3 linked regions of the Canis lupus familiaris genome follow. The protein of the gene in region 3 purifies or fractionates together with the protein of the main gene of each other region. This does not show direct contact. Links are inferred from orthologs where the notes say so. Each region holds a gene or a part of one and is shown on either strand. Other genes may lie near its edges.

Evidence for each region.
Region 1: the proteins of WWC1 (region 3) and PTPN14 purify together in Homo sapiens (affinity purification with mass spectrometry; 7 studies listed by BioGRID and IntAct, counting the BioPlex papers as one, with this or other methods). This does not show direct contact. The link is inferred for Canis lupus familiaris from reciprocal best matches to the Homo sapiens genes WWC1 and PTPN14.
Region 2: the proteins of WWC1 (region 3) and AMOT purify together in Homo sapiens (affinity purification with mass spectrometry; 3 studies listed by BioGRID and IntAct, with this or other methods). This does not show direct contact. The link is inferred for Canis lupus familiaris from reciprocal best matches to the Homo sapiens genes WWC1 and AMOT.

The regions. Positions count from the first base shown.
Region 1 is NC_049228.1:12,374,901-12,379,117, forward strand, and holds the start of PTPN14 (tyrosine-protein phosphatase non-receptor type 14), read right to left. Parts: upstream 2,924-4,217; 5' UTR 2,831-2,923; intron 1-2,830. UniProt on the Homo sapiens protein: Protein tyrosine phosphatase which may play a role in the regulation of lymphangiogenesis, cell-cell adhesion, cell-matrix adhesion, cell migration, cell growth and also regulates TGF-beta gene expression, thereby modulating epithelial-mesenchymal transition.
Region 2 is NC_049260.1:86,453,531-86,457,172, forward strand, and holds part of AMOT (angiomotin), read right to left. Parts: intron 2,866-3,642; 5' UTR 2,804-2,865; coding exon 1,932-2,803; intron 1-1,931.
Region 3 is NC_049225.1:44,320,791-44,324,945, forward strand, and holds the start of WWC1 (protein KIBRA), read right to left. Parts: upstream 2,843-4,155; 5' UTR 2,781-2,842; coding exon 2,662-2,780; intron 1-2,661. UniProt on the Homo sapiens protein: Regulator of the Hippo signaling pathway, also known as the Salvador-Warts-Hippo (SWH) pathway.

The sequences.
Region 1 (4,217 bases), on a different chromosome or scaffold from region 3:
GGAACCACTCCATGGGGCTTTGACAGGGGAAGGTAAATTAAGTCAGTGAGGGGAGATCCCAAAGTCTTATTTCTAACATTATTTTTAATCCTCTCTGTACCAAAACTTGGTTTCTCTCGTTCTTTTTTAATCAGCTCAAGCAAGTAATGATTTAATTGGCTAATGAACTATTTCATCTTATCTCTTTCCCTTGCCTTCTCTCTTTAACGAAGTGCACAGCATAGCTCTGAGGCTCAGAATGAGTTCAGATTCTACACGACCATTGGTGACGAAGTCTAGAAGTTCAAATGCAGCATAGCAGGTGAAAAAGAATAAGAATATGGAATCCAGGAGGGGTTCACTGTGCAATCAAAGGGTTTATGTTTGCTTCCCTGGAGCAAAAAAAAAAAAAAAAAAAAAAAACAAAAAAAAAACACATAAACCCTTAATAAGGAGGGAGGGCATTAGGAAAAAAAAAAAAACTCCTCATAGTTTTTGACCCCTGGCCCAGTCATTCAGGACAAATACCAATTCTCCTAAAAAATTCTGATTTTTTTCCGAAATTCTTTAGGTTCTTCCATATTAAAATAGTCTAACTGTTCTCTTTCCATTACAGCTGTCCGGCCCACACAGTGTGCACAAAGCTGAATAACTAAAGTGTGAATAATAACTGTGTCTAAGCCAATGATGGAAGCCGGGCGAGCACCAGGATTAGCAAGAAAGAGCTTCCCTTCAGCCATGTCTCTCACGCAGGCCCTATACCTCCAATAAAACTCCTGTCAAGGGGCTGTTCTTGAGATAAGAGAAAGTGTTTGTGGAGGGGCTTAGCCAAACACCCCCAAGTTGTTCTTTTTCTGCTCCTCCGATGTACTGGCCTGAGTTCACCGAGGCTGGACCTCAGCCACGGTGAATACTACTAGGACTCCACTTCAGCCCAGTGAAGAGGCACCCCTGAAGGGCAACCCACGTACAGCGTGCTTCCGTCTGATAAGGAACCTTCCTAGGCAAGATCTGCCCAATCCTGGACCATCAGGCTACAAAACCCGATGGAACAGAATTCGATTTTATAAAGTTTCAGAGGAAGGAAAAGTATCCTTACAAGTGTGCTAAAGCAACATTTGATGACATTTACATGTAGAGAAAACTATGACAAACACAGGGACACCCGTCCATGGGCTCATTCTGCGCATCTGTGGCCACCCATTCAGATCAGGCAAAAAGAGTGTCATGCTGTGCAGCTCCCACTCATTTCCAGCACAGGAGCTTTTAACCCCAACCCCAAAAGATAAGCAACTTTAATGCAAGGTTCTGTGATGCTGCAGTATTATCACCCACTGCTGTCAAGTGGCTCTTTAAAAGGGAATCAAGTGCCATTCTAATGAAAACAGGCATGGGCCAATTAGTGCCAATTAAAATTTAGATGGTCACACAATTGCTGCTTGTAGAAACTGCATCAGACAAGGAGGTGTGTCCGAAGAGAGAGACTTAGGCGCCTCTGGAAACTACTTGGTTACCGTAAGGGGATAAAACGCTTCTAGTTTCATTTCTGATATCTATCATATCCCAAATAGCTGGGTCAGATAGCTAGCTTTTTGAACTCTTTTTTTTTTTTTTTTTTTTTGGATGACTCTTCATTTTGCACAAGCTGTTTCTTCCACCTGGAATGCACTCTCCGGATCACTCCTGCAAGGTAAACACTCCCTTAACCCTATAAACCCAGGGCACACGGTACCCCTCGTCTCCAAAACCAAGCCTTCCCTGCCTCTTCCAGCACTTCTCGCTCGCTCACTACTGTAATTCTTCATCAGCCTGTGGGTTTCCTCCAGGAGGCTGCAGTTACAGCTTGTTTAAGTATCTCAGCATCCTGTTTTCCGAGCAGAGTAGAGGCGCAACACCAGGTTTGCTGAATGAATGGGTGAACTGATCCAGTTTAAGAAATTAACACATTGGTGGAAACCCTGCGACCCTATATTCGGCCTGCAGTCTAGAGATTCCGCACATCTTCACAAAGAGCCTGCAACACCCAGTTCCAGGACGGACTGAAGCGCAAACCCCACAATCTCCTTGATTTGTAGGTGGGGTTGGGGTTGGGGTTGGGGTTGGGGTTGGGGTTGGGGGGGGGGGGTGACAGGAACCAAAGGAAGCGGAAGGGGATGCTAAGGAGATGGCACCAGTACCTGAGACTACTCCCTCCCCAAGGTGTAAAATCCACTTAACAAGTATTCAAACACTCAGGTTTAGGGATCACGCCAGGGAGAACAGAGAGGCGTACTAACAGCCCCCTCAGAACTTGTGAATACTCAGAACTTTGAAAAGTTTGAGGTGCGGATCTGTTGCGAAGTTATGTGGCCACAGGCTTTCCCCACGAGCCAGCCCGACCGACCACCCAAGGAGGCCAGGAGTCCGGGGGCACGGCCGGGGCCTAGTGGGAGGGCATTAAAAACTCCCCTCGCTCCCAGGATCCCGACCCCCTCCCCAGGAGGCGCTGGGAACTGGGGCGTCGGGGAGCCGCGTCCCCGTCCCGCTGGAGCCACAGCAACCTCGTCCTCCTCCCTTCCCTCTGCCCTCAGCGCTCGGCTCCGTCCCGCTGCCCTTTCCAGGCCCGCGCTCGCTTCCCAAACAGCCGGAGGGAGCCGGGAGGAGGGGGCGAGGGGGTGGCGCGGCGGCGGACCCGCAGGCAGCGCCCCGCGGCCACCTCCACCCCCGACAGGGCGAGCACCCAGGGCCCCGCGGCCCGGCCGCCCCGCGCCCCCGCTGCCCCGCCAGCCTCCCGGCGCCGGTCCAGGCTGCCCCGGTCCTCGGCCAGGCGCCCGGGGCCCGAGGAGGCTCCCCCGCCGCAGACGGCGCCTACCTGCTCACATGGCCCCGTCGTGACCCGGGGTCCCGCGCGGAAAGCCTGTCCCCGCGGCGGCGGCGGCGGCGGCGGCGCCCCAATTCCCTAAGGAATTGATTCCAGTGGCCGCGGAGGAGGGCGGGGGAAGGAGCCGGGGCCGGGGCCGGGGCCGGAGCAGGCGAAAGGGGAGGGAGGTTTCCGCTGCGATCCCCGCGCACCGACCCGGAGAGGAGGAGAGCCACCTAAGCCCGGGGTAGTCCCGGGGAGGGGGCGGGGGGCCGGGAGGAGGGGTGAGGTGGGCGGGGGGCCGGGAAGAGGGGTGAGGTGGGCGGGGGGACCGGGAGGAGGGGTGAGGTGGGCGGGGGGACCGGGAGCAGGGGTGAGGTGGGCGGGGGGGACCGGGAGCAGGGGTGAGGTGGGCGGGGGGGGGTCCCGGGAGGAGGGGTGAGGTGGGCGGGGGGGTCCCGGGAGGAGGGGTGAGGTGGGCGGGGGGGTCCCGGGAGGAGGGGTGAGGTGGGCGGGGGGGGTCCCGGGAGGAGGGGTGAGGTGGGCGGGGGGGGTCCCGGGAGCAGGGGTGAGGTGGGCGGGGGGCCCGGGAGCAGGGGTGAGGTGGGCGGGGAGGGCCGCCCGCCGCCGCCCGGGACTCGGCTGCTCCCCGGGGACCCCGCCGGGCCGAGCGAGGGCGAGCGCGGCAACCTGCCCCGGCCCGCGCCCCGCGGCGCCCGCTCGTCCGGCGGAGAAAAAGTTGGGCAGAACTTTCCGGGGCCGCGGGAGCCCGGGCGGCAGGAAATGCGAGCGGCCGGCAGGGGAGGGAGGAAGGGGCCGTGCGGTGGGAGGGGACGGAGCAGGCGCCGGCGGCCGCGGCTCCCCCCGCCCCCCACCCTCCACCCCGGGCCGGGCCGGGCGGGGCGGCGGAGGCGGGGGCGGGGCGCGGGGGGGGGAGCGCGGGCAGGAATGCGCCCGGGAGGCGCGCGCGCGGCGGGGCGCGGGGCGCCGGGCGGTGGGCGCGGGGGGCGCGGGGCGCCGGGCGTGGGGCGCGGGGCAGCGCCGAAACTCGGAGCCGGGGCTCCCGGGCTGCAGGCGCGCCGGCCGCGGGGACGTCACGGCGCTGGAATCCGAGGAATGCCGGGCGGCAGGAGCTCCCCGTGCAGGCCCGGGAGCAGCCGCGCGCCGGCGGTGCGGTGGCTTTGGGGAAACTGTTGAAAGGTGACGGCTGGGGAGGGAGGACGGGTGACACTCCCGGGAGCCCGGGACGCGGGAGCGGAGGAGGACAAGCGCCCGCGGCCGGCACTGCCTAGCGCCGCTCCCGGCGGGGGCGGGGTGGGGGCGGGGACCGGGACCCGGACCTGGACGGGGGCGGGAAGGGAAGGGAAGGGAAGGGGAAAAAAAAAAAAAAGAAATCCCC
Region 2 (3,642 bases), on a different chromosome or scaffold from region 3:
GTAAATTATATGCAGCTAAATTTCTCTGGTGGTTTAATCAGTATGGCAAGAAAAAAAATCCCTCTGTGGGCTCCTTATTATTTATTTAGGCAGATCAAAGGGCTTTTCCATCTAGCTTCAAACACTGTGGGAGTCATTTCAGATTACAGACAATACTGGTGAATGAGTTCTGAAAATAGCTTTCCTGGGAAGGCGGGCCTTGTGCTAAGCAGGGCTTCAGATTCTGCTCCACACCCCAGCCAACATACTCCCCTCCCACAAGGCAACAGACGTCAGCCCATCCACATAAAGGACAGAGTCCCACTGACTCTTACATGCTGATGGGAAGAGTAAAACAAAAATCCTCAGCTTCATTGACATTTTGCTGGCTTGAATGGGTTTCCACTAAGCTAAGCAGTCCAAATGACCAACCCCTCCCTCGGTCTTCCGCTTCATTGGGCAGATGGGAATCAGGTTCTCGCTCTCATTTAAACCGGAAGTGCCCTGTCCATTGCCCCATTTCCTGTTCTAAGCCACTTATCAGAACTTAGGCTCCTGCCCTTTAAAGCTGCACACAAGAGGTTGAAAAAGGTTAGGAAATCAACCTTGGTTAAGAGGGAAAAAAAAATCCTAAACTGGACAAGTTATGGGTGGAGCCCAAAGTGAATTGCTTCTGGCTGTAAAACAGGACAGGGGTGGGGAGGGTGGGGAGGTGGGGGGTGATGAAATACCAGGAAATTCCAAGGTGCATTCCCTTATTCCCTTACCTTCACCTTACTCCCACCCCCTGACTGCCTTCTCTCCTGAGTCACTCAATGAATTTCAAGCCAAGCGGTTCTTTCCCAAATAAGTGAAGAGACAGGAGGCAAAGAGTTAGATGTCAGAGAGATCACAGGCCTGATCTGGAAAAAGCACCCCCACCCACCCAGGTCCAGGGACTTCAAACCTCAGTTATCCATAATTACCCAAGGTAACAGGACAGGAATACCACATAAAACTGTCACCGTTGTTGGCCACAGTGGAATCCTTTCCTCTGCCCCATATGCTGAATGACTACCGATCAGAGACATGGCCCCAACAGTAACAACAGGAACAACAAACAGAATCATGGAATCGTAAGGTCTGGTCGATACAGCACTGGGACAATGGGCCTCCAAATCCTGCAGAAGTACATTTAGGAATAAGTGAATAACATGAAATTGTCCTCCTGAACCAATGACAAGTAGCAAAGAAGTCATGGGGATATTATTCTCTCTGCATCTTAGAATCTGACCCAAAGTTCTATGTAACATGATGGGAGTTTAATTTAGTTGTCCAAAAACATGGCAGGCAACTAACAAATGCTCTATGGAGGAAAGACGGAGCAGCCCAGAGTTCATGAACTGCAAGGATGTCCAAGGCAAGTGACATTCTGAACCTGCACATATCCGGCTCCCCCCACAGTAATATCTAGGTGTTGGTTTAGTGTCCGAAAGAATCATAGTAATTCTGCAGAATGATTCGTTCCTAAAAAGAAGTGATGAGCATTCTGTGGAGGGGAATAACTGACAGGGATACGATATTCCAGATTAACGTTCAAGATAATTTGCTTCTGCTCCTCAAGGTAGGGCTTAACAACTCACAAGAAGAGGAACACGGACCCTTTCTTCACAATCCCAGGAGATAGGACAGCATATAGCTGTAGAAACCAAGACTTGCGTTCCTGTTCATCCACTAGGCAATTGGGGCCATGCTCAACCTACAAAGTCAGGGGAATGTTACTACAGCACTAATTATGGCTGAAGGGGCTAGAAATTCAGATTCGCAGGAAATTTACTAAGCCAGGGGCCAGCCATGCACTGCAGAGTTTCTTATACCAAACACCTGCCCATTTCTTCCCTTAAGATTCCCAACACACAGCAGAAGCTGGTTGGGGATGAGGCCAGGAAATGACAGAAAGGGAACTCTCTTACCTGGCTGCTCCATACTCAGGGGGATGCTGATACCTCATCAGTTGCCCCTCTGTTCTCCCTGGCTGGTTCAGACGATGCTCACTATAGAAGTGCCCTGCCTCTTGGGGCTTGCACACTACAGACTGGGGTGGCATGCCCTTGAAGGGATACTCTGGTGGGGGGCCTCGATGTTCCATGCCCTTCAGGCTATGCTGGCTGGGAGGTGGCCCCTGGGCCTTGTAGAATTCACTGGAACTTGTGGGAGTCTTGTAGAGGTCACTGGGTTGTGGTGGGGAGAGGGGAGCGCTGGTAACAGGTGGATGGGCCTTAACTCCACTGGTGGCCAATGACATCTGCATTAGTCGTTCACTCAAGGAGCGGACATGTCCTTGCTTAAGATCTCTGAGTCCTTCATCCTGGTGCATCTTCCCAGGATTGAGCCGCTGAACTGATGGGCGTCCCTCAGTCCTCATCTTCTGGTTGGTCACTCCGGTGACATAGAAGGCAGCTCCAACACTGGCATGCTGTTGGCCCCGAAAGTATTGGGACTGGACCTTGGCTTCTTCATAGGTTGGGAGTTCTTCATTATTCTGCATTCTAGGGGAAAGCTGCTTCTCCATGATGATGTTTTCTGCCTGGATTTCCTGCCCCTGAGGTTCTTGTCGAGCAGCATGAGCCACAAGCTGTTGGTGGTGGTCTTGGGGACTCAACACATCATTCTGAGGGCCTGGGTTCCCACTGCTACTGGGAAAAGGAGGGCCATTCCCTGTGGCTTGCTGGTGTATGGCAAGCAGGTTGCGATTCTCATTGGGATTGCCATAGCGAAGCTGCTCTTGTAGCAGACGCTGCAACACTGTGGTTCCTCCACTTGGCTGTTCTTCAGAATTTCTCATCTCTATTGCTGGTGGTGCCTTGTGAAGAGAGAGAGAAATTGGGCACCTGGGCTGCCCTTGACCTGGGAAGGGGAAACAGGAAGCTTAACACCCAGTTGATGGATAAATCATTCCTCTAAAGGGGAAGAAAATGGGTATTTGGGGGTGAGGATTCCACTCCAGAGACAAAGTAGAGAATTGAATCTAGAATTAATGGATTAATTGTTGGTGACTCCTGGCTCTACCATTGATATGATGAGGAACTCAGGGGCATAAGAGCTCATTGTTTCCTCTTTTTGCTTTTAGCATGAGTTAAATATCCAATCTTGACTTAACTTCTACGAGAACTGGGGAGACCTGGAGCAGTCGGGGAGGGTGACCAGAGAGGGCAATTTTCCTAGGTCCTTACTCAGAAAGTTCATCTCTCTGTATTCTATTTAAATAAAAGGTCCAACTCTTATGGGCCGTGGGACTTGGGGCAGGCCAGTAGGGAGAATGTATAGGCAGGATCTGTAAAGCAGGTCATCATGTGGAGGGAGCTACAAAATGCCAAATAATAACTAAAATAAATACAAGGTGACGAGAGCTTCGCTTGCACCATATAGAAATGATCCCAGCTTGATGCAACTCGTTTTCTCTGATCTCATAAAACTCTGAAACATAGCTTTAAAAAAAAATCCTTTCTGTATTGTCCATTTTGGATTCGCCTTGGCTTAATAAGAGAAGGGCTTGAGATAATTACTATTGACAAAGTTTCTCTTTCAGCCATCCAGGAATAGTCATTGAGGTTTTTTGGTTTTTGGTTTTTGCTGTTGTTGTTTGGCTAGGAGGAGCTTAAATGGGAAGCCCTCTTTCATGTG
Region 3 (4,155 bases):
AAGGTGAAGAAAGTGAGAGGCTCAGTTAAATGCCACTATGTTCTTAATTCCTCTCCAATACTTGTCAATCTGCCTAAAAAACAAAGGCTGGGCATACCTGTTGCTGGGTATGGGCAAGCTACCGTACAGAGCTAAAATATAATGGCACTGGGTTGTTGGTTTTTTTTCCCTCCACTGTTTTTTTTTTTTTTTTTTTGAAGATCCTTTCTATTTATGACAACAGATAATACTAGTTTCCCATTTGTGAAAGTGGTTAAAAATTTTTCATACTGAGGGGCACCTGGGTGGTTCAGTCAGTTAAGCATCTGCCTTTGGCTCAGGTTATGATCCCAGGGTCCGGGGATTGAGCCGCATGGTGTGCTCCCTGCTCAAAGGGGAGCCTGCTTCTCTCTCTCCCTCTGCCCCTCTCCCCACTCATTCTCTCCCTTTCTCTTTCTCAAATAAATAAAATCTTTAAAAAAATTTTCACGTTTAGTTGATTTAAAGTCAAATATTAAGTAAGCAATGGTACAAGTCAATATAGCAGAAAATCATTATGGTGGTTCATATGGTACTAAAATTTGAAAAATAATACTCTAGCCAAGTCAATTTTCCACTTGTCCTTTTCCAGGGGTAGAAAATTACCTGTTGTTTGAGAAGCTTTCTAGAGCTGTATTCCTCTCAGAGCCCCAGAGAAGTCCCTAGATTCACAACCGAGGGTGAGTTAGCAACGCTGGGTGTGGGGCTGTCCTAGTCCTCTGACATGCAACTGCTGACAGCACACTGGCCTCAGTAAGTTGCAAGGACCAAAACCAGGCAGGAAACAGAAGACTGAACTTATGTCTCTTCTGGAAGAGAACAAGGGGCTGCCCAGTTCTCCAACACGTAACAGCGTCCCTGGGACAGATGACCCTGAGTGGGGCAGGGAAGAGAAGTGAGTCAGGACAAATCTGGAGGTTAGAACTTCAGAGATGGTAAAGAATCTGGCATATGGTGAGTGGTGGAAAGATGAAGATATTCAAGTAAGTCACACCTCTGGACCTCAAATTTTCTCTTATGTTTGAAAATAAGAGCTGGGCTCTGATCATCTATGTCCCTTCCAACTTTCAGAGTTCTACGATTACTTCTCTTCCAAACAAACCATTAATCTGACCAACGGGGAACCTGAGGCTCAGAGGTTAAAGCAGCTTGCTCATGGGATGCTTTCTCTAGCATTAAAAATTTATCTTCCAATGCCACCAGACTGACTCAGTTGGTAGAGCACCCGAATCTTGATCTCAGAGTGGTTGAGTTCAAGCCCCACAATGGGCAGAGAACTTTTCCTTTTTAAATTTCTCTTCTAAATTATATCAAAGAGGCATCCAGCGTGGTACTGAGAATAAAGCAAGCACCCAAGAAATGTTAAATGAGTGAACTTAGAGCGCTCACAGAAATTACGGGGCATCTCAATTCAAATTTTCTTTCTGCCTTTTTTTAAAACCCACACCTTGCTACACACCCCATCTTGGACTTCTGGGACCTGCATCCCAACCCTACAGGTCGAAAGATCCAAAAAATTCACCTCTATTGCGTTACAGGCACCTGACACTCAAGGTCGCACAGACCAGGTGAACATTCCACATTCCTAAGACACTGACCACAGACCAAGCCAACAAGGACAACAAAGCAATCTCAGAGGGTGGTCCTCTTCCTCCCCTTCTTCCCCCCACCCCTACATGGGGAGGGTGTGTGCAAAGAAATGACAAGCAATCAAAACCGGGAGAAAGTCTGGAAGCTCTGAGCAGTCACCTCAGACTCCACCTGCCACAGAAAAAATAAAATAGAATCCGTGCTACAGTCGCTTGGTGCCCACCAAGGTCAGGACGCGCTGGTGCAGGACTGAGGAGTCTCGGTCCCCAGAGGAAGAAAGGGTGGAGAACGAGGTGATGGGCAGGGCTTTGTGGGAGGCCTCTCACCTCCATCTATATCCTAACAGCTTCCAAGTTGCTCTAAGATTCCTGGAGAACCAGTCTTCCGATCAGCCCTCCCCCGCCCTCTTCCTTTCCTTCCCACTCCCGGCCTCCAGGCCCCCTGGCTGCTCCCGTGCTCTTCCCCGAGCCTCCCAGGCACCTGTCAAAGACCACACTCCAGGCTGCCTTCCCCTCCGCCTAGTGTCCTTCCAGCAGTTTCCCACTGAATCCTGGGTCCCTACTACCCCCTCCAAACCAGATGCTTCCCCATCTCCCCCCGGCCCCACACACACACACACTGGGGAAAGCCTCTCCGGGAAGCCCCAGAAACGCTCCGCTAGGCTGCTGCCCCAGCCCCCGCCCGACCTCGTCCTAAAGGGGGCGGGGGAGGCGGGGCTAGAGCTTAAGGTCAAAACTCTGGGCAGGTGCCGGCTGGGGCCTAAGTCCTCCATCGGGGACGGCGGCGGGGGCCGCCCGGGCCCCTGGCCGCGCCCCCCTCCAGCAGCCCACCCCGGCGGGAGCAGCGCTCCAGACGGCGGGCGATGGGGATGGGGACGTGGATGGGGACGGGGGCGGGGGGGGGGGGCGAGGGCGGCGGGGGGGCGGCCAACTGAAGAAAGCGCAAGCGGCTCGCAGAGTTCCCCGGCGGCCCCTGCCCGGTCCCCGCGGGTGGCCCCTGGGGCAAGAGGGGGCCCGGGCGGAGCGCGCGGTGTGGGGCTCCCCGGGGCCCTACCTGTCCCGCGGGTCGATCCAGCTGGTGGTGCGGCTCGTGTGGTCTATGTAGTAGACCTTGCCGTCGAAGTCGCGCGCCTCCTCCCAGCCCTCCGGCAGGGGCAGCTCCGGCCGGGGCATCTTCCCGAGCGCGGCCCGCGCTCCCCCATGCAGCTCCCGGCCGCCGCGGGGGCCCCGGCTCAGCGGCTCCGGCCGGCCGTGCCCAGCCCGGGCGGCCGCCGAGGCACCATGATGGGGGGGGAGGCTGGCGCCCGCGGACTGGGGGCCCTAGTGGGGGCCGGCCCGGGCGGCGCCGCGGTCCATGCGGCCCTGCGGCTCCGGCCCGCCGCTCCCGGGCTCCCGCGCTCCCGCCGCCGGCCTCTCACGCTGCCATGTGCGCCCGCCGCGGCGCGGTGCGGGCCCGGGGACGCGCCCGGCCGGCGGGGCAGAGCGAGCCGAGCGCCGCCGCCTGCTCCCCGCCGCCTGCTCCCCGCCGCCTGCTCCCCGCCTGCTCCCCGCCGCCTGCTCCCCGCCGCCGCCGCCGCCCCCTGGCCGGGCGCCCGAGCCCTCTCCGCCGCTCTGCGCCGCGCCGCTCTGCGCCCGCTCGGCGACTCCGGCCTCCGCCAGGTGCGGCTCGGGCCGTGCAGGTAACCGCGCTGCCCCGGAAACGGGAGGCGGAGCGCCGGGCGCCTGGGCTCCCGGGTCCCCTCCCCGCGCCCGGCGCTGCGAGGGCGGATCCTAGGACCCGAGACGCGCCCCCTCGTGGGACTGTCCGGACCGCCCGCAGCCCCGGTAGCCGGGAGGGGGCACCGCCCCTTACCTGGGCCCCGGACGCGCGCGGGGGCCCGGGTGGCCCGAGCAAGACCCGCTCGCCGCTGCTTCCCCGCGCTCCCGGCTCTCCACCTCGCGCCTAGGCTCTTGGTGCAGGTGGCCCCAAACCCTAAAACTCCCCGCTTCTCTTTTATGTAGAATCAGGAGCCAGACAAGAAGTGGTTAAATGGAAACATTCTTGCGATTCAGGGAACAGAAGTTTTCCTGGATCTCTGATCCCTTCCCCCAACACACGCACCATCTGTCTCCCTCTCCTTCCATTCTTCTCCCGGTGTGGTTTCACTGTCTCCTCTACCCTCGTAGTTGCTAATGTAGCTGGCTGTCCTCTGGGTCCCTAAAACTTGGAGTATATGCTATGAATCCCCTCCCCCCGGGGCGGCATCCAAGGGGTGCCCGGGGAAGCCTTTTGTAAAGTAACAGTAACAGGGTCTTGTGAACTGAATGGAGTCCTTAGCCCGTCCCAGGCGGGAGGCTAGCAGCGTCATGTGTGCTTCCGTCCTATGATACTTGGAGGTAGGTACGTTATGGATTTGAGGGAAGAAGAAAGCAAAGCAAAATTCCATTTTGAAAACTATTAGAAGAAATTTTAAAATCAGTATTTCTTGAGAAATTAAAGATATGTAATTAAGTATAAAAAGATGAGACCCCAGAGTTAAGGATCTACGGGCTCGTCTGTTTCCTGAAT